Linked DNA regions of Anolis sagrei. The protein of the gene in region 2 binds, or shares a complex with, the protein of the main gene of each other region. Links are inferred from orthologs where the notes say so. Each region holds a gene or a part of one and is shown on either strand. Other genes may lie near its edges. The genes, in order: PIGH, PIGC, PIGA and PIGP.

The links.
Region 1: PIGC (region 2) and PIGH share a complex: the UniProt entries of both Homo sapiens proteins name them as parts of the glycosylphosphatidylinositol-N-acetylglucosaminyltransferase (GPI-GnT) complex. The link is inferred for Anolis sagrei from reciprocal best matches to the Homo sapiens genes PIGC and PIGH.
Region 3: PIGC (region 2) and PIGA share a complex: the UniProt entries of both Homo sapiens proteins name them as parts of the glycosylphosphatidylinositol-N-acetylglucosaminyltransferase (GPI-GnT) complex. The link is inferred for Anolis sagrei from reciprocal best matches to the Homo sapiens genes PIGC and PIGA.
Region 4: PIGC (region 2) and PIGP share a complex: the UniProt entries of both Homo sapiens proteins name them as parts of the glycosylphosphatidylinositol-N-acetylglucosaminyltransferase (GPI-GnT) complex. The link is inferred for Anolis sagrei from reciprocal best matches to the Homo sapiens genes PIGC and PIGP.

What each region holds. Positions count from the first base shown.
Region 1 is NC_090021.1:281,994,745-282,001,910, reverse strand, and holds the start of PIGH (phosphatidylinositol N-acetylglucosaminyltransferase subunit H), read right to left. Parts: upstream 3,017-7,166; 5' UTR 2,965-3,016; coding exon 2,782-2,964; intron 569-2,781; coding exon 359-568; intron 1-358. Other genes in the region: ARG2 (arginase-2, mitochondrial), read left to right, coding at 6,556-6,675. UniProt on the Homo sapiens protein: Part of the glycosylphosphatidylinositol-N-acetylglucosaminyltransferase (GPI-GnT) complex that catalyzes the transfer of N-acetylglucosamine from UDP-N-acetylglucosamine to phosphatidylinositol and participates in the first step of GPI biosynthesis.
Region 2 is NC_090024.1:131,145,944-131,153,632, reverse strand, and holds the start of PIGC (phosphatidylinositol N-acetylglucosaminyltransferase subunit C), read right to left. Parts: upstream 3,014-7,689; 5' UTR 2,928-3,013; intron 1,773-2,927; exon of another isoform or gene 1,398-1,772; intron 1,233-1,397; 5' UTR 1,131-1,232; intron 668-1,130; 5' UTR 551-667; coding exon 1-550. Other genes in the region: dimethylaniline monooxygenase [N-oxide-forming] 2-like, read right to left, coding at 7,140-7,509. UniProt on the Homo sapiens protein: Part of the glycosylphosphatidylinositol-N-acetylglucosaminyltransferase (GPI-GnT) complex that catalyzes the transfer of N-acetylglucosamine from UDP-N-acetylglucosamine to phosphatidylinositol and participates in the first step of GPI biosynthesis.
Region 3 is NC_090026.1:63,179,784-63,187,141, forward strand, and holds the start of PIGA (phosphatidylinositol N-acetylglucosaminyltransferase subunit A), read right to left. Parts: upstream 3,006-7,358; 5' UTR 2,864-3,005; intron 735-2,863; 5' UTR 672-734; coding exon 1-671. Other genes in the region: CHST14 (carbohydrate sulfotransferase 14), read left to right, coding at 6,335-7,358. UniProt on the Homo sapiens protein: Catalytic subunit of the glycosylphosphatidylinositol-N-acetylglucosaminyltransferase (GPI-GnT) complex that catalyzes the transfer of N-acetylglucosamine from UDP-N-acetylglucosamine to phosphatidylinositol and participates in the first step of GPI biosynthesis.
Region 4 is NC_090023.1:71,911,268-71,918,809, forward strand, and holds the start of PIGP (phosphatidylinositol N-acetylglucosaminyltransferase subunit P), read right to left. Parts: upstream 3,013-7,542; 5' UTR 2,875-3,012; intron 1-2,874. UniProt on the Homo sapiens protein: Part of the glycosylphosphatidylinositol-N-acetylglucosaminyltransferase (GPI-GnT) complex that catalyzes the transfer of N-acetylglucosamine from UDP-N-acetylglucosamine to phosphatidylinositol and participates in the first step of GPI biosynthesis.

The DNA.
Region 1 (7,166 bases), on a different chromosome or scaffold from region 2:
CCTAATTTTAACACAAAAAACTGGGAAAACATATTGACTCAAGTATAAGACGAGGGTGGGAAATGCAGCAGTTACTGCTAAATTTAAAACATAAAAATAAAAATAGATACCAATAAAATTACATTAATTGAGGCATCAGTTAGGGTTAAATATTTTTGAATATTAAAACTGTAATTTAAGATAAGACTGTCCAACTCTGATTACCTATATAATCGAGTTTAAGCCAACCCGAATATAAGCCAACCAGGACCCTCACTCAAGTATAAGCCGGGGGGGGGGGGTGTTCAGCCCTAAAAATGTCTGAAAACTTGGCTTATGCTCAAGTATATACGGTAATTAATAAATAGATAATGCTTACCATATAGATGGCTTCGTTGATGACCACATCTTTTATCTGGCTCATTTCTATAAACGCCGTACTCTCTTTGCCGGACGCATAAGATGATGTCATCTGTATCCCAAGGGAGCCAATGATCAGCAGGGACTCCTGGTCGATCTTCACGAAGTGCAAGTAGACAAGCAGGCCGATCAGTGTGACAAATATGGCAGCAGAGAGGACTACACTGTTCTGAAAGAGAAAACAAGCAGGTGACTTACAACTACATTTAGCAATTGACCAAACAGAAGCCAGTTGTGTTTCTATCCATTTGACTCGTACGCCTGGCAACACATTATATGACAATCTTCAAAATGAAAGGCAGGCTGTGCAAGCTTGTAACCATGGATTCAAATTATAAAGAAAGAAAGAAGGGGGGAGGAGAACGTGGCACCTTTAAGACTAGTTTTTATTTTAGCATGAACTTCTTCAGATGCAGTACAGACTGATATCAAGGCTTCAAGTATAAAGCGTATTTATACAGCTGTGGGAATGGAATAGAAGATATTATTACCATATACTTCCGGTTGTTTTATTCCATAATGCTGTCCTCATATTGCACTTACCCCCATCTTTCGGAAGGCCTGTCTCCACTGTTCCATCCCCTACGAGTTCCTCCCTTTCATATATACCTTTTTCGTTCTTATCTCATCTAGTGTTTTATCACTTTATGTCGTACATTTGGCCCACACTGTTTTATTTTACTCTTATATTCATTGCTATTGTTAACTGTCATCACATCAGCTTCCTCATATAGTAATCCTGTGAATGAAAGATGTCCAATAATGCATCTATATATAGTAAAATTAATATAAACTGCCAGGGTTCAACTTTGGCCACATCATGAGGAGACAGGAAAGCTTAAAGAAGACAATGATGCTGGGGAAAATGGAAGGAAAAAGGAAGAGGGGCTGACCAAGATGGATGGGTGGTATCCTTGACGTGACTGGCTTGACTCTGAAGGAGCTGGGGGTGGTGACGGCCGACAGGGAGCTCTGGCGTGGACTGGTCCATGAAGTTACGAAGAGTAGGAAACGACTGAACAAATGAACAATAAAGCCAGGGTTCAAGGCTATGGAATCAAGGAAGTTGTAGTTTGGGGAACACACAAACTTTGGCAAAGAAGCCCAAAGTCCTTGTAAAACTGCAGCTCCCACGACTCCATAGCAGTAAGCCATGGCACTTAAAGTAGTGTTAACCCACATTAATTCAAGTGTGTAGATGCACCCCAATACATCCTATTATTTTCAGACTTGCACAGGTCTTTGAAAGTCAGGCTCATTGAATTTGATGGAAAGTAGGAGGAAGGTCTGATCTTCTTAGGTGATCTTCTTGGATTGTCTTCCAAGATCAGTGTACTGGCGGTGGGTCAGTAGGTGACTGTGGAGCCCTATTCTTGATCTGCATGTTCACCTGCAGTGAGGGCATTGGTTTCCAGGTGGAAGGCGGTCCCGGTTGGGGTTGGCTTGACACGCCTTCCTCTTGGCACATTTCTCTCTTTCGCCCTCCATTCGTGCCTCTTCAAATTCTGCAGCACTGCTGGTCACAGTGACCTCCAGCTGGAGCGCTTAAGGGCCAGGGCTTCCCAGTTCTCAGTGTCTATGCTGGAGTTTTTAAGGTTGGCTTTGAGCCCATCTTTAAATCTCTTTTCCTGCCCACCAACATTCCGTTTTCTGTTCTTGAGTTCGGAGTAGAGCAACTGCTTTGGGAGAAGGTGGTCGGGCATCCGGACAACGTGGCCGGTTCAGCTAAGTTGATGGCGGAGGACCATTGCTTCAATGCTGATGGTCTTTGCTTCTTCCAGCATGTTGACATTTGTCCACTTGTCTTCCCAAGAGATTTGCAAGATTTTTCTGAGGCATTGCTGATGGAATCATTCTAGGAGTTGCATGTGACTTCTGTAGATAGTCCACGTTTCACAGGTGTATAGCAGGGTTGGGAAGAGTATAGCTTTATAAACAAGCACCTTGAGGAAGGTATGGCAGAGTGGTTTGAGCACTGGGTTATGACTCTGAAGACCAGGGTTTTGTTTCCTCATCTGACCATAGAAACTCACTGGATGAGTCACACACACTCAGCCTCAGATAACACAGTCCATTGCCCCTACAACAGGGTCGCCATAAGTCACAAACAATGTGAAGGTACTCAAGAATAAATACCCCCACCCCTTGAATTCAATGGAAGATTCTGATACAGCAGGCAGAGCAAGAGGAGTGGGCTAAACCATATGAAACCGGGGGGGGGGGGGATTGAAGTAGAGAAGGGCTGCCTGTCTACTTACTGAGGGGGGTCCTTAACCAATTGGGAGACGCCCTCAGGTTCGCCCCGCCCCTAGGCCTAAGGGAGAGCAGGGAGTGGGCGTGGCTTCTCGGATAACAGTTGTGTATTGGGAGGGGGGGCGTTACCTCGGTGAGGACGAAGAGCCCGTAGGCCGCGAGCCACACGGAGCACGTGGCGGCGCTGAGGGAGCGCAGCTGGAGCCGCGGGCAGCGCACCTGGAACTCCCGGCAGGCGGCGCTGTGCTGGCGGCGCTGCAACGTGATGCGCTGCCCGGAGACAGTCAGGAAGCTGCGCTCTTCCTCCGCCATTTCCCAGCGGCGATGGAGGGAGCGACGAGCGCGGGCCTCCGAGGCGCCTAGAGCGGCTTCTGCTCCAGCTTCCGGTTGCGCGACGTTCGGGAAGCCCCGCCCTCCTCCGGAAGGAGCTGTCTCTTGTGCTGGAAAGCCTCCCCCCCCTCCAGCCTCTTTCCCATTTCTCCTGTCCGGCGACTGCAAAACACACACTCCCTCGTTTGTGTTTTCGATTAATGGCGACTCTAAAACGAATCTACCACGAGATTTTCTGACGCTGGAAGTGTCGAGCTGGGAGTCCCCAGAGTCTCAATCTATATAAATAAAAATGTAATGTTCATTTGTGGGGTTAACAGAACTCAAAAACCATAGGACGAATTGACACCAGATTTGGACACAAGACACCTAACAACCCACTGTATGTCCTTCACTCAAAAAAATTTGATTTTGTCATTTGGGAGTTGTAGTTGCTGGGATTTATAGTTCACCTACCATCACAGAGCATTTTGAACCCCACTAACGATAGAATTGGGCCAAACCTCTCACACAGAACCCCCATGTTCTGTCTAACACTAAAACCACTGCACCAAGCTTCCCCATGACCCTTTGCATAACCGAATGAGAGTTACCTTCTCGGTTGTTGACTAAAGGCGCATCTACGTTGCAGAATTAATTCAGTTTGGCACCACTTTAACTGCCATGGCTCAGTGCTACAGGATTCTGGGACCTATAGTTTGGTGAGGCCTCAGAGCTTTTTGGCAGAGAAGGCTGAAGGCCTTGTAAAACTACAACTCCCAAGACTCCTTTGCATTGAGCCATGTGTGGCAGTTAAAGTGGTATCAAACATTATGCATTATTTCTACAGCTTTCCTAAATCTATTGCTAATGTGATTAGGATCATCCTAATAGAATCATCCGGATGCTGATTCTATTGATGAGACGTGATGGATTGTTGTTTTCCTGTATTGTTGTATTGATGTCCTGATGTTAACTAATTGATATTACTGTTTTAAATGACTAATGATTTTGTACTGTATTGTTGATACTGGCTGTTAACCGCTCTGAGTCACCGTTGGCTGAGAAGAGCGGTATACAAGTGAAGTATAAATAAAAAATAAAATAAAATCCCTACGCAGCTGTTGGTTGGGAGAACAGTGATTTTTATATACCAAGTTAGTGGTGGCGGTGGGGGAGCCAACATTTATTTCTTTCCATGTATCTTATTAAATACTTAAATGTCCTGATTTGCCCTCAAGAACAGCCTTAATACAATGTTGAAAGTAAAAGAAAAATGCTTTACTTCAGCAAACACAAAAATAACAGCAAATGTGGTTGAAAAATGTAAAAGAAAGCAAGAAAGTTTCAATGCAGACACAAAACTAAAGTCTCTAATAAGGTCCAAAATAAACAGTAGTTACATCAGAACACAGCCAATGATCACTAAATCCTTAGAAGCAGACACAAAGGAGGTACAATTGGAGCGAAAACATCAGCATCAAAGTCATTACCAGCTAAAGCTAACTGCTCCTGCTTCTGATTTATAGCCCTGAATTCCCCATGCAGGAGTTGCTGGGGTGGCTTCGAATTACCTCAGCATTTCTAGCAGCTATTATAGCTGAATACTGTCTGTGCTCGGTTTCCTTTCACCTCTCCAGAAATGTGGGCACTTGCAAACCCAAACCCTCATCGTCTGATTCCTCTTCCCCGTCCAATTCCTGAGCATTTCCCTGCCCCCCTTCCTCTTCTGAAGATGAGGAATCCCTAACATTAAACAACAGATTTACTTGAAGTGGTTGGGACAGCACTGAAGTGGTTGGGACAACTCCAACCCAGATCGCATTTCTTTCCTCCTGTATCCCTCCATGAACTGACCTAGAAACAGCCACTAGACTTCAAATCAAGCTACAGCATTTTATTAAATTTCATGCCACCCCTGCAAACCTACCAACAGTGACAATGGACTGTGCACATATCAATGTGGAGATCCTAGCTGGCATTGACCTAGACCAATCAGCAACCAACATGACAAAATTTATTTGGGTTGTTGTAGGTTTTTCGGACTATATGGCCATGTTCTAGAAGCATTCTCTCCTGATGTTTTGCTGCATCTATGGCAAGCATCCACAGAGGTTGTGAGGTTTGTAGTTTCTTTGTTTTGGATACCTGTATTACAATGTGTTTTTATGGCCAAAACATGGCCTCCAGACTCAAAGTCCTGTGCTTAAAGCACAGCGCCATCTCCCTAATTACAGCCATGGCAGTGTTTTTCCTGACTTGAAAAGGAATTTTCCATTCGGTGTGGGGTTTATCTGGGACTGGACTAGAAAGTCTCACTCACCTACCATATGTTAAATCTATGTAACAGGCAAACTTGGTCCCTCAGGCCCTTTCCTTTCCCCCATCGGCTGCTTAAGCATACTATAGAGCATGCATGAGCAAATTTGGGCCCTCCAGGTGTTTTGGTCTTCATCTCCCACAGTTCCTAACAGCCTCAGCCCCCCTCCTTTTCCTCCTCAGTCTCTAAAGCCTGAGGCTGTTAGGAATTGTGTGAGTTGAAGTCCAAAACACCTAAGTTTGCCCATGCCTGCTCTAAATGCACCTCTGGCCTCAAGGCTTGTGGACACTGTTGCTGGAATATCTTTCCTAACCTTCCTGGCCAGCACAGAGAGTGATGGGAGTTGTAGTCCAACAGTAATTGCCCTCTCTCCCCGCCTGCAATGGAGTCAGTGGGGCTTCCTTCCCAGGGATGAGCCTGGAATTCTGGGAGTGCTTTCTCTGTGACTCAAACCCGCCGCGAATGTTGCGAGGCGGGGGCATGTGGTCCTCCCTTCGGTCCGCCTGTGGGCCCCCAAGCCGCGCGAAGGGGAGGGGGTGGTCTTTCCTCCCCTGAAACATGGTCCGCGCCGCTCGGTTCCTTTCCTCTTTACTTTCCGCCGCGGAAAAGCTGTGAGGCAAATGGTTTCTCAACTGTATTCTGCAATGTAGATCAGGTATGGGCAAGCTTGGGCGCTCCAGGTGCTTTGGACTTCAACTCCCACAATTCCTCACAGCCTTAGGAGGTTTCCCCCCTCAGCCGCTTAAGCGGCTGAGGGGGGAAAGGAAAGGGCCTGAGGCTGTGAGGAATTGTGGGAGTTGAAGTCCAAAGCACCTGGAGCGCCCAAGCTTGCCCATACCTGGTGTAGATAGATGCAACTCGGGTGGAAAAGCAGAAGCTGCCCATTTTAATCTTAAACTTTAATCCGGCGGGATGGATGGATGGCTAACGCTGAGAACCGGAGGATAGAGAGAGAGAGAGAAAAGGAAAACAAAGCCAAAGAGGGAAGCCAGCCAACACTCTCCGGGCACGTTCCCTTCCTGGCGCGCGCCGGCTTCGAAGGGGGCTCGGGCGCACACCTCCGGCCAGCTCGGCGCTGATTGGCTCGCGGGAGATTAAAGGCCTGGGCCCACGACCAAGGGGGCGGGGGAGGAATCCGAGGAAGGGGGCGTGGCCTCGCGGTGGGCGGGGCGCCGCAGTGGATATAAAAGACTGGCGTGGGTAGCGGTGCCGGTACTCTTTGATTAGGCGGCGCGTGATCTTGTCTTCCTTTTTTTCCCTCTCGTTTTGCCGCTATGTCGCTACGCAGCAGCTTCGGCCGGCTCCTCAGGCAGCGGGCGGGATCCACGTTGAGGGTCCAGAAGAGACCGGCGCACTCGGTGGCCCTGATTGGAGCCCCTTTCTCCCGGGGCCAGGTAAGCCAAGCAGGGGAGAAGAGGAGGAGAAAGGGCTGGGCAGGCTGAGCGGGAAAAGGAAAGGGATTGAGGCTTTCCAGACAAGAAACAATCAGGGCCAGCTAATCACCTCCCAACAAGGTTTTACCCCAGGCAGTAAGAAGCCAGACCTTGAAACTGCTAGGCCATTAAATGGTAATCAAGGTGGCCAACTGCAATATTCACACTTGCCTCGGCAGTAAGAAGCTAGACCTTGAAACTGTTTGGCCATTAAATGGTAACCAAGGTGGCCAATTGAGGTTTCCCCCCAGGCAGTAAGAAGCCAGACCTCGAAACTGTTAGGCCATTACATGGTAATTATGACGGCCAATTGAAATATTCACATTTGCCTCGGCAGTAAGAAGCCAGGCCTCGAAACTGTTAGGTCATTAAATGGTAGTCAAGGTGGCCAATTGAGGTTTTCCCCCAGGCACTAAGAAGCCAGACCTTGAAACTGCTAGGCCATTAAATGG
Region 2 (7,689 bases):
AGATGGCCATATTGAGAGATAGTGTACTGGACACAATCGCAGCATTGGCTCCATAGTCATAAAAGATCAAGTGTCCTAGCAGCATAAGGGCAGACATAGCGTAAATTGTATCTGTGCTGATGGACTCTGTTAAAGTCTTCAGTACTGGAGAGAAGCCATAGGTGAAAGCCACAAATACCACAGCATTCTTCAGATCAGCCCACTGTGACTGGTCACTCTGACTTTTTCCTATTCCTGATTCAACGGCATCAAAGAGGACATAGCCGATTAGTGAAGAGATCAATCCAGCTCCAAACAACCACTGGGGAGCTAGCAGTCCCACATCCATGTACCACCAGATGACAACAAAGACACACACACTGCACAGCTGCTGGATCACCAGTCCAGATTCAAATACCACTGCCCAGTACTGGTATTTACGTGCATGGACATTTTTGCGTAGCTTCTCTAGAAAGCTTCGGTCCACATAGTTATCAGGAAATGGCTGCCTCTTGTATAACACTTTCTGCCAGCATTGTCTTCTGTTCTGTGCCATCTGGAGTCGCAGCATGCATCTGGCTAAATTACTGCCTTCAAGATCCACTTGCACTGGAATACCGTATTATGTCACAGAAGATGAAACCTGTATCGATATTTCTTGATGATTTTCCAGATTTTTAGCTGAAATCTAAAAGCAAGACAACATAATTAAACCAAGTTTTCCAAAATCCAGATACAAGTAGGCAGTCCCCTTATTCACATATCATCACTACCAATAAAAATGAAAAATTCAATTAGCTAATGGAAAACATGGTTCAGAAAATGGAAAAGTCAGTACCCTGGGTGATACCAGATTGATTGGTCAAATCAAAGGAGGTGTACTTATTTCCTTTTTTATTTTCTGTGTTTAAATTATTGTGATTTTACATTGCTTGATGTGCTTATTTATATTAGGTTTTTTTGCATTTTATATTTTTATTTTTTATATTTTATTGTCGTTGTATGTTGTTTATTTGCATTGCTGTATTGTTGGGCTTGGCCTCATGTAAGCCACTCCGAGTCCCCTTGGGGAGATGGTGGCAGGGTATAAATAATGTTTATTAATTAATTAATTTATTTATTTATTTATTATTATTATTATTATTACTTACCTCCAGAACTGAAGGCCTTGTCACTGCTGAAAAAAAAAAAGAGTCTACTGATGAGGCAAGGCAATCCAATTGTGAGCAGGAATTAATTCCCTTTTTGCTACCCTGCAAAAAAGCAGAAGATGTAAAAGAATATGAGATAAGGGAACTTTTCCACGGAAGCCCATGAAGGCTTTTTCCCTTGGCGCTTACAACTCTCTTCAAAGAACAGCAAGGAAGTGTGCAAGCAAGAGAACACAATTGTTTTCACATTTTCTATCTTGTTCTTACATTTTCCTTCCTGAGCACCATGATTAGCTGCTGGATCCATTTCATCTTGTTTCAGGCCTGGTTTGGCCACTTTTGTAGATGACCTACAGAGAGACCTAGCCATAATGTGTTCCTGTGGATTCTACTGGCTTTTGATAGCATTGACCATAGTATTCTTATGGACAGCCTCACTGAGCTGTGGAGGCATTGTTTTCCTCCAAGAATGGGCAACTTGGAAGCCCCTAAACAGACTCAGAAGTGGAGTGGGCAGATCAAAAGACAACATGGCAAAATGGCACTACCTAAAAGAATCCCACACCTTGTGTGACTGTGGAGCAGAACAGACAACTCCGCACCTGTGTGCTTGCCCACAATGCCCTGCCTCATTTACAGAGGAAGAATTGTTGGAGGCTACAGACAATGCCATTCCTGTTGCCCGTTTTTGGTCAAAAGATATTTAGCTGTCTGCGCTCCTTCTATTTTTATTGGTTCTATACTAATTTATGCAATGCTTTTGATACGAAATAAATAAATAAATAACAAGGTTAATTAGCACTGAGCAGCTGCAAAGTCAATCAGTGAGAGGCAGCCTGGCTGTTGTTAGCCTGGAGGCATCTTTTGTTTGGGGGGTATTAACTGGCACTTGATTGTAACCCAGTAACATTTATTTATTTATTTGTCATGTCAGGGCAACCAGTTAATTATATTACATTTCTAACAGAACAAAGCAAACAAACAAACAGACAAAGTACAACATTTGTGAGTTTGGTAGTTGATTAAATGTCCTTTGACCAGAATCTGGCCACTTGGAGTGCTTCCGGTGTTGCTGCAAGAAGGTCCTCCATTGTGCATGTGGCTGGGCTCAGGTTGCATTGCAGCAGGTAGTTAGTGGTTTGCTCCTCTCCACATACGCATATCGAGGATTCCACTTTGTAGCCCCATTTCTGAAGGTTGGCTCTGCATCTTGTGTTGCCAGAGCGCAGTCTGTTCAGCGCCTTCCAAGTCGCCCAGTCCTCTGTGTGCCCAGGGGGAAGTCTCTCATTTGGTATTAGCCATTGGTTGAGGTTCTGGGTTTGAGCCTGCCACTTTTGGACTCTCGCTTGCTGAGGTGTTCCAGCGAGTCGTATTTCATAGCGTTATTATTATTATTATTATTATTATTATTATTATTATTATTTAGTACTCCTACAACTCCCATAATTGCACAGCAAAAAGCAAATGTGTCAAAATACATTCATTCAAAATATAACTCTGATCATGAGGCCCTCGCTAAGGGCGATCAGGCTGCAGGCCCGCTTCCTCTTCACATTAAGAAGCCCCCTCCCCTCATTCCCGCGCTTTTGTGAGGCACTGTCTCAGAGGGCCTAGTGCGCGCGCGAGCCTTCTGCGCGCGCACCTCCTCCTCTCACGCATCGCGCCCTACGTCCTCCCGGCACGAGCCCCGTCTCTACGTCAGTCAAGGGCTGAGGGGGCGACACATCCCCTTTCCCCCTCCAGAGCTTCCTGTTAATAATCCCACTGCTGGAAGGGCTGGAAGGGCCCTGGCCTTACCTTCCTCTCAACTGACAGAGGCGGCCCACAGAAGAGAGGAAGGCGGGGATCTGGGCCGTCCCTTTTCCTCCCCTTCTTCCTCGTTGGTGACTTGCGCCCACTGCCGTTCCAAGTAAGAGACGCCTCAGGTTGGGTCCCTTTTCCCTTCACGTACATTGGACCTCATCCACAGAGCATCTGTCTCTTTAAATCCTGTGTCTGCCTCCGTCCCGCTGAATTCTGGGGCTTGTAGTTTAGGGAGGGGCCTTTAAGCCGCTCAGCCAGGCAGGTGCTGGGCCTCACTAAACTACAAACCCCAGAATTCTGCAGGAAGGAGGCGGCCATAGCATTTAAAGTGGATCCATGCTCTAGTTCAGAGTTTCTCAAACTTCTTCATCCCCTTTTAAAGGAAAGGTTTCTCATGGAGCCCCAAGAAATGTTTATATATTATACTAGCCGTCTCCTGGCACACATTGCTGTGGCCCAGTCTTTATATATGTGTTTTGTGTGTGCATATACTGTGCTGTCGCACGCTGGGCCTGTGCATCAGACTGTAGACAGGACATAAATTCTGTGTGCCCAATGGGACGCCGGGGCTGCCTCAGATTAAAGGTCCTTGGATTTCCTTAAAACAAAGTCTTTAGATTGCTTAAAAGTTCAACAAAGTTTATTTATTTGGGGTTCTTTTACCCCGCCCTTCTCACCCCGAAGGGGACTCAGGGCGGCTTACAAAAGCAAAGGCACAATTCGATGCCTGCATCATAAAACAACCATACACAAAATTACATCAATTCACAGTTGACAACAATTTATGCACTATAACCATAAAATCAATAAAATCAATAAAACCAAATACAAACCCAATTTCTCCTCTTACATGGTCAGCGTTCGTTAACTCATAGATCTAGTTTTACATTCCACTTCAACAATCCTGCTGGTCTTACTCGCCTGATTGTCTGATTTAATTGCCAGAGTGCCCAAAGGCCTGGTCCCATAACCAAGTCTTCACCCTCCTCCTGAAGGCGAGGAGGGATGATGATGCCCTAATTTCCCCCGGGAGTGAGTTCCACAGGTGAGGGGCCACCACTGAGAAGGCCCTGCTTTTCGTCCCCACCAGCCTCACTTGTGACAGTGGTGGGGTCGAGAGCAGGGCCTCCCCAGATGATCTCAGACTCCGGGGTGGGACGTAGAGGGAGATACGTTCGGACAGATACACTGGACCAGAACCGTATAGGGTTTTGTAGGTCAAAACCAGCACCTTGAATTGTGCTCGGAACTGAATCAGCAGCCAGTGGAGCTGGCACAGCAGGGGGGTGGTATGCTCCCTGTATGTCGCTCCGGTGAGCAATCTTTATTAATGAAAACAAACAGGCTGTTCAAGGAGCTCCACTGGCTGCCATTTATCTACCGAGCCCAGTTTAAGGTGCAGGTGCTTACCTACAAAGCCCTGAACGGTTTGGGACCAGCCTACCTGCGTGATCGCATCTCCGTCTACGAACCCACACGCTCTCTTCGTTCATCTGGAGAGGCCCTGCTCATGATTCCACCTGCGTCGCAAGCGTGTTTGGTAGGGACACGAAACAGGGCCTTTTCCGTGGTGGCCCCCCGACTCTGGAACACCCTCCCGAAAGATCTTAGACAGGCCCCTACATTGGCAGTCTTCAGAAAGAACTTGAAGACCTGGCTGTTCCGATGTGCCTTCCCCGAATAGGAAACCTCCAAGTCCCATAAGCACTTTATTAAAGTTAAAACCGTTGCACACCGCACACTGCACTTGCCCATAAGCCTCATATTCCACCTGTCACATCAGCACTTTTAACCCTTGTACCCTTACTCTGGCCCGGCCCAGTTTTATTGTGTCTTAGTGGATTGTTCATTGCTGTTGTTTAGTTTGCTTTAATTGTTTTTAATTTGCTTAGGTTTTGCATTGTTGTATTGTGTGTTGAGGCCTTGGCCTTTGTAAGCCGCATCGAGTCCTTCGGGAGATGTTAGCGGGGTACAAATAAAGTTTAATAATATTTTAAAGCTTTCTTAACAGTCTATTGGCTCTTGCAATCTTGTTCACTGGGAACAGGCACTATCTTCATAACTGTATACTAACTAATGGGGAAATCCTTAACTTCTAATCTGGGCAGTCTGTCTTTGCCTCTGTTGGTGTGGAGCCCCTACACCCGGTACCAACTGCGTCTGGCTTCCGCGAGCGACCCTTACCAAGCAGAGCTTTGTAGACTTCCAGGGGAAAAGAAGGAGTTCAGGTTTCAGTGATGGCTGGCTGAAGTCCTTCAGCAAAAGAGCTGTAAGGCTGCAAAATCCTCAGCCAAGCTATGGGGCCTTTTCTCCTTGGCCAAGCTGTAGAAGACGAAGCTTTCTACAGGAGTTCTTGGTTTTATGTCCTGTATGGAAAGCTTCTCTGTGTGTACTGACCCAAAAAGGCTCCTATTCCCTCCAAAAACCCAAAAAGGGGGCGGGACCAGGGAACCTAACTATAATTGACAGGTGGCTTGCCCTATGATTGCAGCCAAAAGAAGCCACCTATCTGCAGAGTCTCTGAAACTTAGGACTGCAACAGACATTCAGTACAAAGCAAACAAAATTGGAGCTCCTGGTACAGTTGTACCAGCACATATACTCATATATGTGTGTGTATATATTTGTGTGTGTGTGTGTGTGTGTTTGTGTGTGTGTGGTTTTGTGCATGCGTTGTAATGGGTTTTTTTTTTAATTTTTGGGCTTTTTAAGTCTCTTCCCTGTGTTTTTCAGTGTTTTTATGAGTCATAATCACTTGTTGGGCTGATAGGTGTATTGTGTCCAAATTTGGTGTCAATTCGTCCAGTGGTTTTTGAGTTATGTTAATCCCACAAACAAACATTACATTTTTTAAATATAGACTAGCCGTCCCCTGCCACGCGTTGCTGTGGCCCAGTCTGGTGATTTGGAAAATAATGAGAAGGTGTTGATTTCTAATATATGTAATGTATTTGTGCGTGTGGGTAAGCAGTATATATTGTTTCTTTGTCAGTGCTGATGTGGAGATGGTCTGGTTTGCCTACTTTGGAATAGGCAACATATAATTGTCCTTCTTTAGGGGTCCCTTTCAAATCTGATACTATATCTCTCTGTGTGTGAATCATATATATCTATGGCTGGATGGCTCTTTGTCAGGAGGGCTTTGATTACTTTTTCTTCCCCTGGTAAAGGGAGTTTGACTGGGTGGCCTGAAGTATTTTCTGTTGGTCATGGGGGTTCAGTGTGGGATGTTTGCCCCAATTCTCTCGTTCGTGAGGTTCAGAATGCTCTTTGATTGTAGGTGAACTATAAATCCCAGCAACTACAACTCCTAAATGTCATGGTCTATTCCCCCCAAACTCCATCTGTGTTCATATTTGGGCATATTGAATATCTGTGCCAAGTTCAATCCAGATTCATCATTGTGTGAGTCAACAGTGCTCTCTGGATGTAGGTGAACTACAACTCCCAAACTCAAGTTCAATGCCCACCAAACCCTTCCAGTATTTTCTGTTGGTCATGGGAGTTCGGTGTGCCAAGTTTGGTTCAATTCCATTGTTGATGGAGTTCAGAATGCTCTTTGATTGTAGGTGAACTATAAATCCCAGCAACTACAACTCCCAAACGACAAAATCATATTTTTTTGAATGATGGTCACTCCTTGTGTTGTGTGACATTTTGTTGCCAAATTTGGTGTGATTTCGTTCATTGTTTTTAAGGTACTCATTATGCACAGAACATTTATATATATATAGATAGTCTGCCCACCCCCCATCAGACTGTGAACTGGCCCTCAGTTTAAAAAGTGTGGACACCACTGCTTTACAGAATTTCCATGTGAAATAGAGGGACATGTTGTACTTTATAAGTTTGCTGTGCTCAATTTTTTCAAAAATACAAAACAATTTTAAGACTATATTTGATACATTTTATTCTCTTTTATTTAAGGATATAATTGCTGTTGTATATTTTGTGTTTTTTGAAGGGGTTAGTAATAATTGGGCAAAATTTAAATCATGGTATGTTTCCCAGTCTTGTTTCACAACTTACTTGAAAGAAAGTCACATTTTTGTTCAGTCTGAACGCTTGACTGCTATGCAGGATTGTATGCCTCTTGTTTAAAATATTTTTAATGTCTGATTTCCTTTTTGTTTTATTGTATTGGATATATACCTAATCAGTACAATGAAACCAAGAGATCCATGTAATATGAAAAGTGCACCTCTCTCATCCTAGGTAGTCATGAATGTGATGAGTTTTTAAAATGACCAAAGAAGCCCCAAGGAATGAAAAGCCAAGGAACATAAACCAGAAAAAAGTTGTGGAGTCTTTGGAACTATTGTTGACTGTCGTCTTCAAGGGCTTCAGAACTCGGTCCCACTCTGTCAGGATTGTGCTTCTGGCTTGTTCCCATTTCCCAGGTCCAGTCAGACGGAATTGATAAGAAGTGCAAGGTCCACAAAGAATTTTAAAGGCTAGTTGGGGGTCCAATAGGAAGAGCAACAGCAAGTTAGGCTTAACCCCTATACAAGCAGCAATTTCATCCATGTAGGCAACAAAGCTTGCCTTTGCACTGTCCTTTTCCATGGGAAATCCCCTGTAGTAGAAGAGAAATAGAAACACCATCAAGCTTTCAAGCAATCCCAATCATATTCTAGTCATAAAGCTCAGCACAGACCTCCACAGGATTATTCAGGTATTTGTTACTGAACATGTGAAGGAGCTGGGAAAAAGTAAAGTAATAGCCCACCCTCTGTTGATTTAGGACAGAGGTCCT
Region 3 (7,358 bases), on a different chromosome or scaffold from region 2:
TCCCATCTAGATGCATCTGGAGTGAAGTCAGTAGGGTCAACAGCATTAGGGATAACGGAGACTATCTCAGGATTCAGTGCCGCTCTCAACACAGTGTTCTCCTTGCTAGTGTACGAAACACATATTATGTGATTTGTATCACACAGCGATACAGTCAAGAGTTTATTTGTGAGCACTGAACTGACATCAGCAAATCCAAAAAGAGAATGGTCTGTGAAAACCGTCCGTAGCTGCATTGTCTTGGCATGGAAGAGTGCATCGTGAGCCATAGCGGAAAAGGAACTATGGGCATGGATGATGGTGACTCTTTCCCGGACAAATATATACCTGAGCAAAGGCAAGCTGTGGAATAGAGTTGTTGCTGTAGACTGGTTGTACATAACTCTTAATGGCAAATAGTAGACTTTCAATCCATTTGTGAGGTATCGAATGCCTTTCCGGTCTTCGTAAGCATGGGTGACTATGATCACTTTGTGTCCTCTTTCAATCAGGCACTGTGACAGTTGGTAGATGTGGCTTTCTACTCCTCCCATATTCGGATAAAAAAAGTCCGACACCATGCATATACTATGGCTTTGACACGGGTGTGTTGAAGGCTTATGAGAGTTCACAGTGGGAGAGGGTGTGGAGGAGAGAAACTGTCTGTGATTTCCTCTCCTTCTACTGGCCATATTAGATAAGCAATCCACCTACGTGACAGCCATTCAGTATGAAGAACAGGCCCCATTCATTACCTATGACAGCAAACAGAGCAAAACGTATTACATCATAAAACTCAAAACCCCTGCAGGTATCTTTAGGTAAAATTACAACATTTAGCTGTACAAGCCTATGCATGCTTATTCAGAAGTATACAACACCCTGTTCAAGAGTTGATTTTACCTCTAGTGAGTGGGTTAGATTCAGTCATACATACAGAAGGCCCATTACAATTATTGGGGGTTATCTGAAGTATATGTAACGAAAATGGTTTCAATACAAATTGACAATACAAAAACAATTTTTAGTCTTGCTTTAGAGTTCCAACTGGGTTCTAATTATTACTATACTGCCTATTACAGGGAATACCAGCTGATCCTTAATCCATCTAAAACACAGACATGTGCTTTTTACCTTAAGAACAGACAAGCATCTCGAGCTCTGAGGATTACCTGGGAAGGAATCCCACTGGAGCATTGCAGCACACCCAAATACCTGGGAGTCACCCTGGACTGTGCTCTGACCTACAAGAAGCACTGCCTGAATATCAAGCAAAAAGTGGGTGCTAGAAACAATATAATAAAAAAGCTGACTGGCACAACCTGGGGATCACAACCAGACACAGTGAAGACATCTGCCCTTGCGCTGTGCTACTCTGCTGCTGAGTATGCATGCCCAGTGTGGAACACATCTCACCACGCTAAAACGGTGGGTGTGGCTCTTAATGAAACATGCCGCATTATTACGAGGTGTCAGTGTCCTACACCACTGGAGAAATTACACTGTTTAGCTGGTATTGCACCACCTGACATCCACCAGGAAGTAGCGGCACTCCAAGTAGAGGCACTCCAAGTGGCCAGCTACTGGTCAGCGAGTGTCTCTGTAGATCTTAGAAAACTATTTCTTGATTTAAGTCGTTGACGTGCTGGCTGATACACAAAGGGGTGGGCTGGAGATGTCACTGCCTTGGTCCTTTCACTATTAGTTGCTACTTCCCGGTGGATGTCAGGTGGTGCAATACCGGCTAAGCAGTGTCCTTTCTTCAGTGGTGTAGGGCGCAGACACCCCATGACAATGCGGCATGTCTCATTAAGAGCCACATCCACTGTTTTGGCGTGGTGAGATGTGTTCCACGCTGGGCATGCATACTCAGCAGCAGAGTAGCATAGCGCAAGAGCAGATGTCTTCACTGTGTCCGGTTATGATCCCCAGGTTGTGCCATTCAGCTTTCGTATGATATTGTTTCTAGCGTTTTCGAACTGCTAGGTTGGCAGAAGCTGGGGCTGACAGTGTAAGCTTATGCCGCTCCCCAAATTCGAACCTGCAACCTTTCGGTCGACAAGCTCAGGGCTATAACCCACTGCGCCACCGGGGGCTCCTCATTTATATAGATAACTGTATTCTCAATTTGCTCCTGAGGGTTGTTGTAGGTTTTTCCGGGCTATATGGCCATGTTCTGGAGGCAATTTTTCTCCTGACGTTTCGCCTGCATCTATGGCAAGCATCCTCAGTACCTCTGAGGATGCTTGCCATAGATGCAGGCGAAACGTCAGGAGAAAAATTGCCTCCAGAACATGGCCCGGAAAAACCTACAACAACCCAAAATAAATTGAATTGATATTAAAAAAGGATAATACATTCTCTCCCACAGATAATTATGTGACATGTTCATTCCTCCCTAACTTGAGCCCCTTCCACACAACTGAATAAAATCCCACATTATCTGCTTTGAACTGGGATATATGGCAGTGTGGACTCAGATAACCCAGTTCAAAGCAGATATTGTGGGATTTTCTGCCTCGATATTCTGGGTTATATGGCTGTGTGGAAGGGCTCTGGCTGTCAAACAAAAAACACCACAGGGCAATGCTAACACAAAATCAAGCTCAAACAGCACAATATGAGGGATCTCTTTGCTTACAGGAAAGAAGTACTTTATATAAAGATGATAAAGAATTGGGTCATCTTAGGGCCCATCTACACTGATCATTTAATGCAGTTCAAAGACAAGAAACTGTGCATTGAGCTGCTTTTTTCCAGTAGAAAATCATACTGAGAAAGCACACATCCTGTTCTGATTCTTACTGGAGTGTTTCACTAGTAAACCCAAAAGGAAACTCAGGGACTTCTCCCTCTGCTACGCCCCACGCGGTCCCTCACTCACCTGCCGGCGGAGTCTGTCCCACTTCCGGGTTCACTCCGGGCGGGAGTCGTCTTTCGTCACCTTAGCCCCGCCCACTCGGCCCCGCGAAGATTTCCGGGTGTATAATAACCCAACCAGGCAGAGCACGTGACCGGAGAAGAGCCAATCCGATTGGGCTAAATTCAGGCAGGGTCTTCGAAGGGAACAATTTTAACAAATATAATAAACTTATTAGTATCTCAATGGGAAGTGTGGGCCTGCTTTTGGCTGATGAGATAGGACTGTTGTTGTTGTGTGCTTTCAAGTCATGAGGAGCGGCTTAAAGAGCTGGGCATGTTTAGCCAGAAGAAGAGACGGCTGAGAGGAGACATGATAGCCATGTATAAATACTGTTGAGAAGCACTGCTCTAATCTGTTAAAATCGTTTTGAATTCTGAATGTAAGATGAATGTATTGCCAGCTCTGTGAGTCTGATGGGGAGGCAGAACTCCAAAGGGGGCGATTCTGTCCCTTTAAGAGACGATTCTCTCCCTTAAAGGAACAGTAGCCCATACTTTTTACCTCTCAGTGTGATGAGGCGGGGAAACTGCTGCCAGGTTTCCAGAGCGCCTGCGCGGGGAGAGCAGGGGGCGTGGCTTCTTGGGTGGGGCCGGGCTCTTCCCCTCTCAAAGTGATTTATTTATTTATTTGTCGTGTCAGGGCAACCAGTCAATTATATTACATTTCTAACAGTACAAAGCAAACAAACATACAAAATTTGTGAGTTTGGTAGTTGATTAAATGTCCTTTGACCAGTATCTGGCCACTTGGAGTGCCTCTGGTGTTGCTGAAAGAAGGTCCTCCATTGTGCATGTGGCAGGACTCAGGTTGCATTGCAGTAGGTGGTCTGGGGTTTGCTCCTCTCCACATTCGCATGTCGAGGATTCCACTTTGTAGCCCCATTTCTGAAGGTTGGCTCTGCATCTCGTGGTGCCAGAGCGCAGTCTGTTCAGCGCCTTCCAAGTCGCCCAGTCCTCTGTGTGCCCAGGGGGAAGTCTCTCATTTGGTTTCAGCCATTGGTTGAGGTTCTGGGATAGAGCCTGCCACTATTGGACTCTTGCTTGCTGAGGTGTTCCAGCAAGTGTCTCTGTAGATGTTAGAAAACTATTTTTTGATTTAAGTCGTTGACATGCTGGCTGATACCCAAACAGGGGGTGAGCTGGAGATGTCTCTGCCTTGGTCCTTTCATTATTGGCTGCTACTTCCTGTCAGGCTAAACAGTGTAATTTCTCCAGCGGTGTAGGGCGCAGGCACCCCGTGATAATGCGGCGTGTCCACTGTTTTAGCGTGGTGAGATGTGTTCCACACTGGGCATGCGTACTCAGCAGAGTAGCACAGCGCAAGGGCAGATGTCTTCACTGTATCTGCTCGTGATCCCCAGGTTGTGCCAGTCAGCTTTCGTATGATATTTTTTCTAGCACCCACTTTTTGCTTGATGTTCAGGCAGTGCTTTTTGTAGGTAAGAGTACGGTCCAGAGTGACTCCCAGGTATTTGTGTGCGCTGCAATGCTCCAGTGGGATTCCTTCCCAGGTGATCTTCAGAGCTCGGGATGCTTCTCTGTTCTTGAGATGAAAGGCACATTGTGTTTTAGATGGGTTGGGGATCTCAAAGTGATGAGGAGGGGCAAGTCCTGACAGTTTTCCACAACGCATGCGAGGGGAGAGCAGGGGGCGTGGCTTCTTTGGAGGGGTGGGGCAGTGGCCCATGCTCTTCCCCTCTCAGTGTGATAAGACATGCTGCATTATCACAGGGTGTCTGCACCCCACACCGCTGGAGAAATTACACTGCTTAGGTGGTATTGCACCACCTGACATCCGCCGGGAAGTAGCAGCCTATAGTGAAAAGACCAAGGCAGAAACATCTCCAGCTCATCTCTTGTTTGGGTATCAGCCAGCACGTCAACGACTTAAATCAAGACATAGTTTTCTTAGATCTACAGAGACACTTGCTGGAACACCTCAGCAAGCGAGAGTTCAAAAGTGTCAGGCCCAAACCCGGCACCTCAATCCATGCGTGATACCAGATGAGAGACTCCCCCCAGGGCACTCAGAAGACTGGGCAACTTGGAAGGCGCTGAACAGACTGCGCTCTGGCACCACGAGATGCAGAGCCAATCTTAAGAAATGGGGCTACAAAGTGGAATCCACGGCATGCGAGTGCGGAGAAGAACAAACCACTGACCACCTGCTGCAATGCACCCTGAGCCCTGCCAAAAGCACAATGGAGGACCTTCTTGCGGCAACACCAGAGGCACTCCAAGTGGCCAGATACTAGTCAAAGGACATTTAACCAACTACCAAGTTTGCAAAATCTGTGTTTTTGGTTTTTTTTTTTTAATCTGTGTGTTTGTTTTGCTCTGTTAGAAATGTAATACAATGGTATGGTTGCTGATGACACGATAAATAAATATATGTGATAAGGCGGAGCAACTCCTGCCAGGTTTCCACAGCGCCTGCGCGTGTTTTCTTGAGAGGGGCCGGGCAGTGGCCCATGCTCTTCCCCTCTCAAAGTGATGAGGAGGAGCAAGTCCTGTCAGTTTTCCACAACGCATGCGCGGGGAGAGCAGGGGGCGTGGCTTCTTCAGAGGGGCCGAGCAGTGGCCCATGCTCTTCCCCTCTCGAAGTGATGAGGGGCATGTCCTTTCAGTTTTCCACAACGCATGCGCAAGGAGAGCAGGGGGCGTGGTTTCTTAGGAGTAGCCGGGCAGTGGCCCATGCTCTTCCCCTCTCAAAGTGATGAGGAGGGGCAAGTCCTGTTAGTTTTCCACAACGCATGCGCGGGGAGAGCAGGGGGCGTGGCTTCTTAAGAGGGGCCGAGCAGTGGCCTATGCTCTTCCCGTCTCAAAGTGATGAGGAGGGGCAAGTCCTGTCAGTTTTCCATAACGCATGCGCGGGGAGAGCAGGGGGCAGTGGCCCATGCTTTTCCCCTCTGAGTGTGATGAGGAGAGGCAAGTCCTGTCAGTTTTCCACAACGCATGCGCAGGGAGAGCAGGGGGCGTGGCTTCTTAAGAGAGGCCGAGCAGTGACCCATGCTCTTCCCCTCTCAAAGTGATGAGGAGCAACTCCTGTCAGTTTTGCACAACGCATGCGCGGAGAGAGCAGGGGGCGTGGCTTCTTCAGAGGGGCCGAGCAGTGGCCTATGCTCTTTTCCTCTCAAAGTGATGAGGAGGGGCAAGTCCTGTCAGTTTTCCATAACGCATGCGCGGGGAGAGCAGGGGGCAGTGGCCATGCTTTTCCCCTCTGAGTGTGATGAGGAGAGGCAAGTCCTGTCAGTTTTCCACAACGCATGCGCAGGGAGAGCAGGGGGCGTGGCTTCTTAAGAGAGGCCGAGCAGTGACCCATGCTCTTCCCCTCTCAAAGTGATGAGGAGGAGCAACTCCTGTCAGTTTTGCACAACGCATGCGCGGAGAGAGCAGGGGGCGTGGCTTCTTCAGAGGGGCCGAGCAGTGGCCTATGCTCTTTTCCTCTCAAAGTGATGAGGAGAGGCAAGTCCTGTCAGTTTTCCACAACGCATGCGCGGGGAGAGCAGGGGGCGTGGCTTCTTGGAAGAGGCGGGACAGGGAAAGGAGAAGTGGTCCTTCTGGCATCCGAGAAGGGCCGTGCCGCCTGCGGGAAGCCGGGGCAGTGGCGATGGGGCCTGCTTCCGCCCGCCGGCCGGCCTCCTGCGCCCGAGGGACCCGCTCCCGCGGCGCCGGCCTGATGCTCCTTCCTTCCATGCTGATGTTCGGCGTGATCGTGGCCTCCAGCGGCCTGCTCCTGATGATCGAGAAGGGCATCCTGTCTGCGGTGAAGCCCCTTCCGCTGCCTCCCTCGCGGGGTGAAGTGTCCTGGCGGAGGGCCCCGGCGGCAGAGGGCGAGGAGGAGGGCGAGGCGGTGCTGCGGGACACCCGCAACCGGACCCTGCGCGCCGTCTGCGGGCAGAAGAGCATGCCCGGCAGCGCCTGGGACCTTCCCGCGGGGCAGAGGAAGACCCTCCTCAAGCACATCCTGGTCAGCGACAAGCACCGCTTCCTCTACTGCTACGTGCCCAAGGTGGCCTGCTCCAACTGGAAGCGCATCCTGAAGGTCTTGGGCGGCGCCCTGGAGAGCGTGGAGGTCAAGCTCAAGATGGACCACCGGCGGGACCTGGTCTTCCTGGGCGACCTCAAGCCCGACGAGATCCGCTACCGCCTCAAGCACTACTTCAAGTTCCTCTTCGTGCGGGACCCCATGGAGCGCCTGCTCTCCGCCTACAGGAACAAATTCGGAGAGATCAAGGAATACCAGCTCAAGTACGGCGTGGAGATCGTCAAAAGGTACCGGAAAAACCCCGGGAAGACCGCCGGGGACGACGTCACCTTTTCCGAATTCCTCCGCTTCCTCTTGGACGAGGAGCCGGAGAGGATGAACGAGCACTGGATGCCCATTTACAACTTGTGCCAGCCCTGCGCGGTGAGGTACGACTTTATCGGATCCTACGAAAGACTGAAGGAAGATG
Region 4 (7,542 bases), on a different chromosome or scaffold from region 2:
AGTTTTAAGACATATAATTTAATACAAAAGTTAGAATAATCCAGACCATAGTATTTCTAATTTCTGTATATGAAATTAGACCTCAACGGCGGAGCAGGCGGAGGATAACATGGCACATGTTACAACGGCTGCGAAGGCGGAAGAAGGCTGCAACAGACTGAGAAGCCATGGTCATTGTGTTAAACTACATCACCAGTGGAACCTCATCTGTGAAGACTGTGTGTTGTTCAGTTGTGCACTGACCTCCACACATTAAAAAACCCACGCACAGGCGTCTTCCAAAGAAAATAAAAACAAACCAACCAAAGTCCCATGGCGATCAGCGAGTGGCGACGGGGGCAGGACTGTGAAATCTGGAAGCCCCTAGTCACAGACTGGCACATGGGCGGTGGGTACGGACTCAGTCGTTCTACCTCAAGGTCCGAGGCAGTTGAGTAGTTCGGCAGCTGTATCCGCGACTGAGCAGCCCTATTGAGGACCCACTCTGCTCACCCCACACGGGGAGGGGGCTAGAAAAGGTGCCCTAAACATAGTCTGCCTCACTTATCCCTGACTGGACTGCCGCGTCCAGTGGGGTCACCATCCTGCGGCCAAAAAAGAAAAATGAACTTCGGTACGTGGAACGTACGGACACTGATGGACAACAGTGACAGTGAACGCCCCGAACGCAGAACTGCCATCATCGCAAGGGAGCTGGGACGCTTCAACATCGACATAGCAGCCCTTCAGGAGACCCGGAGAGCAGGAGAGGGACAGCTGAAGGAAGAAAAAGGAGGCTATACCTTCTTCTGGAAGGGACTGCCTGAAGAAGACCAAAGAATGCACGGAGTTGGCTTCGCTATAAGAAATGATCTGATGAAACATCTGTCCGAAGCACCCACTGGCATCAACGAACGACTCTCCACCCTCCGAATTGATCTTGCCAAAAACCAACGGGCAACCATCATAAGTGCCTATGCACCAACACTAGACGCTGATGAAGACATCAAGGAGAAATTCTACTATCAGCTGGACACTGTCCTATCGGGGATACCTAAGGAGGACAAAATCATTCTCCTGGGGGACTTCAATGCAAGAGTCGGGCGAGACTTCGACCTGTGGCCAGGCACCATAGGAAAAGACGGGGTTGGAAACAGCAACTCGAATGGCATGACAGGTGCTGACGACTGCTGGACCGACCACAGGCTAATCCGATCCACGATGGCTATCAAGATCGCCCCCAAGCGCAGACTCCAAGGAAGAAAGACAAGGCGCAAAATGAACACCCAAGCCCTTCAAGAGCCCTCCAGGCGAGCCCATCTCCAAACTGCACTCAAGGACCATCTACCCACAGTACACCCCGAAAATGTTGAGGAACATTGGAACAAACTGAAGACCTCCATCATCCAAGCCTGCGAAGAAACTATTGGATACCAAGCCAAGAAACATCAAGACTGGTTTGACGAAAATGACATCGAGATCCAACAGCTAATCGACAAGAAAAGGAAAGCCTTCCAAACATGGCAGAGAGACATCAACTGTGCTGCTAAGAAAAAGATCTACGCCAGTGCAAAAGCTGAGGTCCAAAGAAGGACAAGAGAACTCAAGAACATCTGGTGGACAAAGAAGGCTGAAGAAATCCAACACCTGGCAGATACCCATAATGCTCAAGGATTTTTCAAAGCCACAAAGGTCATCTATGGGCCAAGAAACCATGGCATACAGCCTCTACGCTCATCAGACGGAACCAAACTCCTGAAGGACCAAAAGTCAATTGCACTACGTTGGAAAGAACACTACCAAAGCCTCCTAAACCGCAGCTCCAGTGTGGCCGAAGAGGTCCTCTCACAAATCCCGCAACAACAAACCAGGGATGAGCTTGCAGCACTGCCTAGTTTGGAAGAAGTCAGCAATGCCATCAGCCAACAAAAAAACAACAAAGCCAGCGGACCGGATGGGATCCCTGCTGAAATCTTTAAAGAGGGAGGACCTGCGCTGACACACCAACTCCACCAGCTCATAGAAAAAGTGTGGGTGACCGAGAAAATCCCAGCAGACTTCAAGGATGCCACCATCATCACCCTCTTCAAAAAAGGGGAAAGAACAGACTGCGGAAACTATCGAGGTATCTCCCTTCTAACCTCTGCTGGAAAAATCCTCGCAAGAATCCTTGCAAACCGCCTTCTGCCCCTCTCAGAAGACACCCTCCCAGAATCCCAGAACGGCTTCCGCCCCTCCAGAGGAACTGTGGACATGATCTTCACTGCACGACAGCTCCAAGAAAAATGCAGGGAACAAAACCAACCTCTGTACATGGCATTCATCGACCTTGCAAAGGCATTCGACACAGTGAATCGCAGCGCTCTCTGGACCATCCTCCAAAAAATCGGGTGCCCAAGCAAATTTGTGAACATCCTGCGGCTCCTCCACGATGACATGATGGCAACAGTCTTAGATAGCAATGGCTCCCAAAGTGACCCATTTAAGGTGGAATCGGGTGTCAAACAGGGATGTGTTATTGCCCCAACTTTATTCTCCATCTTCATCGCCATGATACTACACCTTGTTGATGGGAAGCTTCCCACCGGAGTGGAAATCATCTATCGGACAGACGGCAAGCTATTTAACCTCAGCAGACTGAAAGCCAAAACCAAGGTCACAACAACATCTGTTATAGAACTCCAGTATGCTGATGACAATGTCGTCTGTGCGCATACAGAAGAAGATCTACAAGCCACTCTCAACACCTTTGCAGAAGCATACACAAAGCTTGGCCTGTCACTGAACATCGAGAAAACCAAAGTGCTGTTCCAGCAGTCACCAGCCGCCTCCTCTCCAATGCCAGAGATACAGCTTAATGGTGTAACATTAGAAAATGTCGACCATTTCCGCTACCTTGGCAGCCACCTCTCCACCAAAGTCAACATCGACGCCGAAATACAACACCGCCTGAGCTCTGCAAGTGCAGCATTTTCCCGTATGAAGCAGAGAGTGTTTGAGGACCGGGACATCCGTAGGGATACTAAGGTGCTTGTCTATAAAGCTATTGTCCTCCCAACCCTGCTCTATGCCTGTGAGACGTGGACTGTCTACAGACGTCACATGCAGCTCCTGGAACGATTCCATCAGCGCTGCCTCCGGAAAATCCTGCAAATCTCCTGGGAAGACAAGCGGACAAACGTCAGCGTGCTGGAGGAAGCAAAGACCACCAGCATTGAAGCAATGGTCCTCCAACATCAACTCCGCTGGACAGGCCACGTTGTCCGGATGCCTGACCACCGTCTCCCAAAGCAGTTGCTCTACTCCGAACTCAAGAACGGAAAACGGAATGTTGGTGGACAGGAAAAGAGATTTAAAGATGGGCTCAAAGCCAACCTTAAAAACTCTGGCATAGACACTGAGAACTGGGAGGCCCTGGCCCTTGAGCGCTCCAGCTGGAGGTCAGCTGTGACCAGCAGTGCTGCAGAATTCGAGGAGGCACGAGTGGAGGGTGAAAGAGAGAAACGTGCCAGGAGGAAGGCGCGTCAAGCCAACCCCGACCGGGACCGCCTTCCACCTGGAAACCAATGCCCTCACTGCGGAAGAAGATGCAGAGCAAGAATAGGGCTCCACAGCCACATGCGGACCCACAGGGAAACCCATGATGGAAGACCATCTTACTCGTCCAACGAGGGATCGCCTAAGTAAGTAATATGATTGTGAAAGCTAGACAACAAAGAAAGCAGACAGGAAAACAACTAATTTGAACTGAGGTTCTGGAGAAAAGTTGTACAGACGAATATTTGCTTCACTAGGAGCAAGGATAACTAAACAGGCTGTAGTAATTTGGTCATATCATGAGACAACATGGCATTGGTAAAGTGGAAAAGTGGATACAAGTGGATTGATTCAATCTAGAAAACCACAGCCCTAAATTTGTAAAATCTGAGCAGAGCAACTGATGACTGGAGACCTTGGAAATCTCTCTCATAGGATCACCATAACTCTTAAGATAACAGTTAAAGACAATGAAACAAAACTAATTTACAGCATGGTTAAGTCTCTAGTCCTTGTAGAAGCCAAGATACGCAGCAAAACAGAAATGTTCTGTCAATTTGTTCTGCAGGAAACAAGTCCGCTTAGGTGAGAAAAACAAGAGTAAGAGATGTTAGCGGTGCTGCACAAAAAAAAGCAGAGGTCACACCTTTGGACATGAGGCAAGATGAGGGAGTAGAGAGTTAAGAGAGCATGTAGCGGTGCATGAGAAACAAGCAAGAGGCATACCACAAAGGAATAAGGCTAAGCAAGTAGAAGTGATGGAAGGGTGAGTGGTTGTAGTGTCACCGTACAAAAAAGGAGGGGTGCGTTAAAATAAAGAGAGGTGGGATTGGAAAGGAAAGTGACAGATGGAGGGAAAGAAGGGTGAGAGGTATAGTAGCAGGATCTGAAGAGTAGAAGAAAGAAATGGTGGTCTATGTACCGGAGAAGGAGAATGTCAAAAGGTCAGTAAAGGGGAGAAGAGAATATTATTAAAAAATCATTCTGGTATACAATATTTTATCTAAAATAGATAAATCAGTCATAATTTGTTCACTTGATTATTCAATAATAATGTTGTCTATACAGCAGGATTTTCAGACATCAACAGTGGAATGTTAGATATAACATTAAAAAAAACAGTTGATAAGGTTTTGTGCAAATAAATCTGGAAAGGTGAGCAAATGAAAAGAAATAACCATTGATTGTGACTGATCATTCTATTTACAACTTAAAAATTGTATTCACACTTGTCCCCTATAGCTATGTTTAAGCGTATATAAATGGCCCTGTAATCCAAGGTATGTGGCTGAGCAGTTATTTACAGTCCTTGTCTTCTGATTGGCTGGATTTGGGGACTGAGGTAATAGCAACCACATCTTTTTAGAGTACTTCATGATAGACAAAAATAAAACAAAACAACTTGAACCCACAAATAACATTCCAACTCATTTTATTAACCAAATATGGCAAAGCGAAGGTAAGCTATCACCAGGAAAAGACACATTGATACTTGCAAATGTTAATTGGAATGTTGGATTTAAAACACTGAAGAACACTGATTCAATCTATTCTTGATTGAATTAGTTGCAGGAGTATTCTCTTGCCAAATGTGACTGTAAATATCAAGGATATTTCAGAAAATGGTATGATAGTGTTGCTTTCTTGTCTCTTCAGAAAATTGTATAGTAAAGAACCTATCTATATTTAACAAAAACAAAAGTGTTGCAATTTTTACAAATGATATCCATAATAATTTTAAGTATTTATGGTGAAGTTTGATATGGAAAACACTAAGAAATTAAAATTTGACTCTGAGACTTTAATACAGCAAATAAGGTGCTAGCAGAGTCGCAAGGTGTCTCTTTAATAGTTGTACAGAATAGGGAATTTTTAGCACTTGGTTAAATTCTCTCTTCTACAAAGCCAAAGTATGAGAGCCTTTATTTTGATTGGCAACTCTGGTAGAATTAATTTTTTTCCAGTTGAACAGGTATATGTTTTGTTTGTGATTCCCAATGATGTTACTACTTAGGCAAGTGTATGTGTTACTGCTTGTACTTCCAGATGTAAAACTGGTTCTGCCTTGGCTGGAAATGGCTAGGTTTCCCCCATCATGCATATTCTGAAACTAGATGTACACGAATACAGCTTCATTTGCAAAAGAGGAATTGCATACATACTGGTCCATGCACCGATCATGAAATCTGATGTGTTTCCCTTACCTTTTGATTTCCCCCTCCTTTCTCTTAATTTGGTTAAGCTTTTTTCGGTTAGGTAGGTCATATTGTTTCATTCCTCATTCCTGAATTTATTTGGGTTGTGCTCCCATGATAAGAATGATTTACAGGATAAGGTGGGGTTTGAATGATTAAAGAAATGAATGAATGAATGAATGAATGAGGAAATAAAATATAGAAAATATTATACGTGGTCACAAAAGCTTTGTACTTATAGACAGATAACCATGTTCACAATATTAATTTGAAATTCAACTCTAAAAGGGAAAAAAGAGTCTGGTGTATTACAGCCCATTAGATTAAACCAGAGGTCTATGAAGTCCAGCAAGAACATATTGTTGAATTAAACAAGAGATCTATGAACCTACAGCATTCTGTTTCTGTCTGTAGCCAACTAAATACTTCCAACAAACGTAGCAAGGTATCATTGAGGAACATCCTTCAGACTTTGCCATTCCAGCTGGTGAATTTGGGAGCAAGAAGCACAATGCTGGGGATACTGGGATCTTGTAGTACAGATGTACAATGTATGGACATTTTAAGGAAATTAGGAACATTTTTTTTCTCCATTTTAAAGAGAAATGTCCAGACAAATTGGGGGAAAATGATGCTATCAAATATCCTAAAGACACAAGATACTGTATAATCTTTGAAGCTCAGCAGGGCATCCATTTTTCGTATTGTATAGGAGATCGCCAATGAATACCAGGTGACATAGGCTGTGCCTCAGAAAAAGAAACTGGCAAACCACCTCTGTGTATTCCCTGCCTAAAGAAAGCCCAATGAAATTAATTGAGTCATTATCAGTTGATAGCCAGCTTGAAGACACATACATATGCACTATTATTTATGACTAAAATTATTTTGTTACTTTAAGAACATAAACTATATTGTATGCATAATGTGCTACAATTATAGTTTTTAAAATATAAATTACAATACTGTACTTATTCTATTAAAATCAAATAATACAGTTACACACTGATTTATCTTTTTATAACATATTTTGTTATAACATAACACAAATGTAGCAAACTATCAACATTAGTAAAACAAAGAAAACTATTTTGTCTCCATAATGTCAAGAAGACATAAAGTGTTCAGTCCCATAAAAGAACTGAAAAAAGACAGGAAGACCAGAATTTGTAATGATCAGACACATCTTTTCTAGCAGATAACTTCTCTTCTTTGCATTTCCTTCACAATGAATTGATATTTTAATGAAGGTTTAATTTACCACAACTCTGGGATCTCTTTCTTAGCTTGTTACTATTAGTTCAGATTCAATACAGATGCTGCATATGTGAAATAAGGTTTACTTCCAGTGTGAATCACTATGCAAATATCACCTAATGTATTACTTCATTGCACAATTAGTTTGTTCAAACTATTTTTAATATTAAATGTTTTTAATTAATTTTAATAATTTCAAAAATAAAAGAAATTCTTTTCCTAAAGCCTAGCTAGAAAAAAGGAGGGACTTCACATAACAGTAAAATATTAGCTTGCCCATCCATATGTTATTTTATGCATAGTCAAGTGCTAACCACCCAAGTGTCTGTATTTCTTTGTTAGGCAATATTGATCTCTCTCTTTATTACACTGGAGTTTGTAAGTCCTTATTTAGCAAATTATTTCTAGAATTTTGTTGCAATGATAATGACAGGGCTGAGAAAGGTGGTATACAAATCCAGCAAATAAATAAAGTGTATTAACTAGGACCAAACTTTTTCCATCACAGGAACTGAAACAGAAGCTTGAGCTGAAATTTGAGTTGGATTCAGAGCAGAAGTGCAATCTGCAAGGC